Linked DNA regions of Arabidopsis thaliana. The protein of the gene in region 1 interacts with the protein of each later gene in a pairwise test. Each region holds a gene or a part of one and is shown on either strand. Other genes may lie near its edges.

Evidence for each region.
Region 2: the proteins of ZAT6 (region 1) and UPB1 interact in a two-hybrid assay, tested with the Arabidopsis thaliana proteins (one large-scale study listed by BioGRID).

The regions. Positions count from the first base shown.
Region 1 is NC_003076.8:1,215,388-1,219,094, reverse strand, and holds ZAT6 (6), read left to right. Parts: upstream 1-1,732; 5' UTR 1,733-2,057; coding exon 2,058-2,774; 3' UTR 2,775-3,037; downstream 3,038-3,707. UniProt on the Arabidopsis thaliana protein: Probable transcription factor that regulates root development and phosphate (Pi) acquisition and homeostasis. Probably acts as a repressor of primary root growth and regulates Pi homeostasis through the control of root architecture.
Region 2 is NC_003071.7:19,410,828-19,414,238, forward strand, and holds UPB1 (transcription factor UPBEAT protein), read right to left. Parts: upstream 1,502-3,411; 5' UTR 1,223-1,501; coding exon 914-1,222; 3' UTR 603-913; downstream 1-602. UniProt on the Arabidopsis thaliana protein: Transcription factor that modulates the balance between cellular proliferation and differentiation in root growth. Does not act through cytokinin and auxin signaling, but by repressing peroxidase expression in the elongation zone.

The DNA.
Region 1 (3,707 bases):
AGTGACATAAACATATAATAGTTACTAATATCACAAAAAGATATATATTCTAATTAATAATCCATGATTTAGAACATATTTTGTTTTCTCATAAAATATCTTAGAAAATAATATTTGAAAAAATAAGTAGCCATCAAGAAAAAGGAACAAACATAAGTAAAAAGAGGAAACGATAGAAGTTTCATGTTGGAGAGAAAGAGGAGGGAGATGGTGATGAATTTTTCCGTTCGAAACTACGACGACCTAATTAAAATATGACGTATATATAGCCAACATTCATATGTAATGACATATTTTCGAGTCTCCGATATATTACATTCTGTGTTATTAATTTATCCTAGATATATAGTACTATACATTGACATCAAACCAAGAATACTAATTATAACATAAAATTAAGAGCAACTGGTTATGATTGGTTTACATCCAGATGTACATAAATTCAGGAGTCCTCTGGTTAAAGGACAAGTAGATTCCTTTTTCACCGGCGAACCATGTAGCATTTGCATTATTTTTCTGAGAGGTGTTCATACTTGACTTGTAAGCTATAAACGAACGGTGATGCGCCCAATGGTAACCCTGGTGTAGATTGCATATAAATTGTGTCTCATGGAAGAAAGCATCTTTGAAACGCCAAGTTTGTGGTGGATCATTGTGACGCAAGTACATGGTCTTAAAATCGTCGTCCCCTGAATAACAATGGAGCTTCAGGGTTGCGTTTTTTGGTAACCTGTTTACTATCATTAATACGTTTCTCCCATGCGTATCTCCAATGTAAAACACTAAAACAATGAGAACAATTGTGAGACGTTTCATTTTGTTTTTCTGGGGATGTTAATTAGATTGTTTTTATTTTTTTGTTTATTTATTTATTTATAAAGATTGCGATTTTGATGTATTTATATATACAAATTTGATCAGTATATGTTTTTTGAGGTTGTGCTTTAAATTCTGTCTTCTCTTTATTTTTTGAGGTTATGCGTTAAAATTAGGAATGGCTCGAGTGGTCATCATGTAGAAATGGCTTGAGTGGTTAAAATTAGAAGTGGCTCGAGTGTTCTACTTGCAATTTTTGTGGAGGAATTGTTAATAAATATTTCAACCATAAACTTAATAAAATGGTTAAAAAAATTTCGTCTATTCCTAGGTTTATAGTAACCTTTCTTTTCGTACTTTGGCGAAACATTCCCTTTGTTATATCATTATATCTTTTAATTCTAACATTCTTTTCTTCGTTTTTAGTTGGATGCTTTATTAATAGATGAATTTTAAAAATATCATAGATTTAATCACTGATGCCCAATACAAATTTGTCAACATGATATAGTTTGCCAAACCTAAAGAAGAAACATAGATAAAGGTTACATTAGAAGGGGGGCACTATAGTGGCACTAGTTCACTAGGTCATTCCTTTCACCCAAGTTCGAAACCTCACCTTTTAAGCGGTTACATATTCATCTCTCAAGTGGGCCTCGAGATTAAAATTAAAAAGGTTACGTTGATATTGATGGGTTTAGACATTAATAGTAGGTATTAATTCGATAAGTTATGAAAAGACAGTAAAACTGGTTAAGTAGCCGACTTAATTTGGCCTTTTGTATCTCCACTTGGTTGGTTGGTTGGTTGGTTGGTCAGCAAAACACCTAAGTGAGAGCTCTCTAGAATATTCTTAAGTGATAAGAATTGAAGAAGGCGGCATTACTTACTTACTAGAAAGAAATGAGAACAAGTCTTCTTAGCCGACTTCCACAAACACGTGTACCAAGTCAAACCAAATGTGCCCAAACCAAACTTAGATACTTTCACTTTTCATCTCTAGTCCACACAACATTATATATAATTAAAATAAATATATCAAATTAAAGTGATTATCGACTTCTTCACTCTTCTTCAACTCTTTCTCATCTCTCGACACGCAACTTCCTTCCTCTTCAGACTCCTCTGACTTTACTATATATAACACACACACTTTCATTTCTTGTTTCTTCAAATCAAATCTTTTCATTTACAATTATCTTTCTTCTCAATTTAGAACTTAGTAGCTAGTCTTCAAGATAATGGCACTTGAAACTCTTACTTCTCCAAGATTATCTTCTCCGATGCCGACTCTGTTTCAAGATTCAGCACTAGGGTTTCATGGAAGCAAAGGCAAACGATCTAAGCGATCAAGATCTGAATTCGACCGTCAGAGTCTCACGGAGGATGAATATATCGCTTTATGTCTCATGCTTCTTGCTCGCGACGGAGATAGAAACCGTGACCTTGACCTGCCTTCTTCTTCGTCTTCACCTCCTCTGCTTCCTCCTCTTCCTACTCCGATCTACAAGTGTAGCGTCTGTGACAAGGCGTTTTCGTCTTACCAGGCTCTTGGTGGACACAAGGCAAGTCACCGGAAAAGCTTTTCGCTTACTCAATCTGCCGGAGGAGATGAGCTGTCGACATCGTCGGCGATAACCACGTCTGGTATATCCGGTGGCGGGGGAGGAAGTGTGAAGTCGCACGTTTGCTCTATCTGTCATAAATCGTTCGCCACCGGTCAAGCTCTCGGCGGCCACAAACGGTGCCACTACGAAGGAAAGAACGGAGGCGGTGTGAGTAGTAGCGTGTCGAATTCTGAAGATGTGGGGTCTACAAGCCACGTCAGCAGTGGCCACCGTGGGTTTGACCTCAACATACCGCCGATACCGGAATTCTCGATGGTCAACGGAGACGAAGAGGTGATGAGTCCTATGCCGGCGAAGAAACTCCGGTTTGACTTCCCGGAGAAACCCTAAACATAAACCTAGGAAAAACTTTACAGAATTCATTTTATAGGAAATTGTTTTACTGTATATACAAATATCGATTTTGATTGATGTTCTTCTTCACTGAAAAATTATGATTCTTTGTTGTATAATTGATGTTTCTGAAAAAGATATAACTTTTTATTGTTTCACACGTATCAAAATTTGCTTGGATACATCATACATAATAAGAGAGCATATCGAAAGTGACTAATTTACGGGCCAGTTTGTTAATCCGTTGGACTAGCCTACTTAGTTTGGTAGGCCGGTATGACCTAACTTACAAGTTTTGAGCCCATCATATATCCAACCATACTTCCACATAGGCTCGTCGTGACCAGCAACACCCAACAAGTTGATCTCCCATCATCTTACATCACATAAATATAAATGTACTGAATCTAAGAACAAAAAGAGAGCTTTTCTTTTTATATGCCATAATTTCTTTATAAAGTGTAAAGTTAACTCCATGTGATTATATGACTATAAAAATTAGGTGTACCCCAAATTTAAAATGATCTAATGAGATTGAACGACGCATTAGTAAAGAGTAAAGACCAAGATCCTTTTTATCAGATATGTACCATTTTGGGAACATCATTGTATGACCTAAATGAGTTCTTAAAATATACAAAGCTTTTCGGCCACAACCTGCTAACATAGTTTGATCGACACACAGAGCGATAACTATAAGAAAAACAAAGATAATATTTATACTTGAGATGGAGTTTTTCTTCTTCTACTTAATTATTGTATATTACTAGAGAAATTTATTCACCTAAGTAGTTTAATTTGTCTATATTAAAAATTATATTTTCTAATTAATGTAAATACTCTATATACTAAACTCCCTTGTATAATTACTAATATTAGCTTCAACATTATTTTCTTAGTACATTTTAAAAGCGATAATATGATTATCAA
Region 2 (3,411 bases), on another chromosome or scaffold:
ATTACAATGAAAAGTAAATTACATCGTTATAATACGTACTATGAAGCTAGTAGTCTTCTCGATAAATTTTCTGCATATCCACTATTGATGCCTAGAACTATTCGAAAATAATCGGTATATTCTTTTTTTTGGTCATCGCAATTTTTAATTTATTTGTAACACCCTAAATGGAGAGCGTAGTAACAACACGTCAACAACAAATAATATGGAAAACACGAATGAAAAAACAAAATATAGCTAACTCACTGTGTTAAATAGTTTAAGGATTAATTTTGATATTTCAAGACTAAAATTCAAGTTCTTTCACTGTAATTTCCAAATCATAGTTTGCAATTATGAACTTTCAAATGAATAGAAATATTGAAACTTTCACAAGTTCGAAGGTGAGCCTGAACTTCGAATTTGGATGCTTCCACTATATGGACTAAAAATTCGGTATTTGAATTCGTGGCCCACGCACTTTCACAGCCCAACGTTAAACATTCTTTTTCAACAGTGTTTTGTCCCTTTATTGGTAAAAAATACCTGTTACCTCCCTACATTTGTATTTTCTCCAACCGACTGAACTTAATTTTATTGATATCATGTTTACAACATAGTTCCTTTACAACCTTTTTAAGAAATGACCCTTTGTTCTTTGCTAATGTAGCACACAAAAACTATTCCCATGGAACAATTATCATGTTTTTTTTGCCGAACCAACAGTCATCTGTTATTTAGATAAGCATATAATACATATATATTTTTGATATTTAATTTTCTGCATAGTCTACAGCAGCAAGATAAACCAAATTCCTTTTCTATATAAGCAACACAAGACAATCACACGAGATAATAAAAAATAAACACGAACAAATAAAAACTAAAAAGAACGTAAAATCCAACAAGATATACAAAAAATATATGAAGGCTTTTAAACACAGTTAGTTTCGGTCAAAACCTGAACCATTGTCTGCATAACTTTCACTTTCATTTCCAAAGCCAAGATATAATCTGCCGTTTGTCTAAAGAGTCCATCTAAACCTTCTGATGTTTTGGTGTTGGGAACAAGCTCTTTTAGCGTCTTCACTCGTCTGTGTATTGCGCGACAAGGTCTTCTAGAAGCTTCTACACTCTTCCTTGGTCGGATCATGATCTTCTTCACAAGTGCCCTTCGAGCCCTTTGTCTTCTCATCAAAACCCAAATTGATTCCTTTCTTTGTCCTTCTAATGTTACACCCATATTATTATTGTAAATGAAAGAATGTTGTGTAGACAAGTGATAACGTTTGCTTACAAGATTAGATGCAAATATATATGAGAGTATGAGACGCCCTTAGTTTATATAGACATACATAGAGGTCAGTGACCTTTATATATAGCTTAAAATGGAGATTACAGCTTCTGAGAAGGTTCTCCTTTTATCTCTCAAAAGAATTGGATGAGAATTTGACAAGTGTCCACAAGGGTGTTTTAAATGTTGTTTTTGATGGATAATTAGGGTTTAGCTTAAATCAGAGGACATGTCATCAAAATACAACTCGATGCACATGCACTCACATGATTATCATCACTACCCAACTCTCTTACATGCTTAATAACACCAACTTTCTTCCCATTCACATCACCTTAAACACCCTGTCTTATTCCTCCTTTGTTGCGCTTTATCCATTTTTTCATTTTATTTTATTTTACTTTCGCAGCCAATTTGTTCTGAGATTAACAAAGTCGGGCGGATTGAAGCAAACCAAAAAAAAAAAGTCAGGCATTAACGAAGAATATAATTATCTTTATGCCATTATCTTTCTAGATTAATTCTTAATCTAATTTATAAGCATGCAATCAGTGTATTAAGACGCTAGCGATTGAAATAGACAGATATATAGGTTGATAAGATGAAAAAGAAAATATTCATATTATGCCGCGCGCGTTAGCAAAAGTCAAAACAACTATCGAAAAATTATCTTATTTTATATTTCTCCCAAAATTTTGGTCTGATTCGTAAACTAATTTAGAAACATACAATATATTAGTGTTTGAGTTTCGCTACAATGTATATAGTTTGAATTGATCACCACTGTCGACGGAGATGATAGATAAAATATGACTATTTGGTTGTCATAATGCTTTTGCTTTTATCAAGTCGTTATATATCTCATTATTTCCAGCTGATATAACCCGGCGCAACTAATTAAGAAATATGAATAACCTAATGATATAACAAAAGCATTTCTAGGTGTTTTATTTTTTTGGACAAAGTAGATAACGATGTTGGATAATGGGATAAGGTCTTAATATAAAAAGACACAAGAACATGCAGTGATCTTCTGTGTTCCTTTGAATTTATGGACTTTCGTATTTAGGATTTTTATTTTAGTGAGTGGATTTGATTGAAGCACCTTAAAAGATTATGTTCTTTCTCGTCATGTGTTTATTTTTAAGAAAAGAAAAAGAAAAGCAGATTCGTGGAGCGATGTTGATCAAACATCCTCGGAGACTATAGATTCAATGTATATCTCCCATCGCCGTCAACACGAAACATTGTACTTACAAATTCTCTTAGACATATATGTACGTCTCTGATAATTGAGATATATAAATTGATCATTAAATGAGAATTAGCTTAACATTCGCATATGATTGATCAGTGTATGTCTATATTTTATAGGTTTCAAGGTAACGTGAAAAGTACCTAACTAATTAAGGTAGGTTTATACATATAATAAGTAGCCATAATGGAGTGTTTAGTGGTCGAAATTGATCGCTTGTTAGCAGCACGTTGTATGTATATTAGCTTAACGTGCATGCACATGTTCTTATATCCTCCCTATTCGTCTAGGCCACCCAACACATCTATATCCCAATTCACAATTTTTTATATATATTTTTTATTACCAGAAAATTATTAATGTTTCGGAAATTATGATCGAGTAATTATCTTATGTATAATTTTTACGAAATTTCCTTTGTTAATATCATAATAGTTGTTTTAACCAGAAAATGGTATATATATCAGAAAGAAGTAAAACAATAAGAAGACCATATCAGCAGAATCTATTATATGTTGAATGTTCTGTCTTCCAATAAATGATACAAAAATAAATCTTAAACTAGGATTTAATCCGTGGTACACCACGGGACAAATATTTTTTATATATATATATATAATAATATGAATTTTACGGTTTTAGTTTAGTATTAAAGTTATATAATTTTATATTAATATTGTAACTAAAAAAATTGGTGATGATAAAATAATAAAATAAATATTTAACATGTGTTATATCAATCCAAACCCGTCCTGCTATTCATATCAATCTAAATCCGTCCCGCTATATTTTTTGTCTCATGATTTTTTAATTTTTTATAAGTTTAAATATTAGTTGTTGAATTAGTTATGATTGTGATTTTATACCGAAAAAGTTATGGACT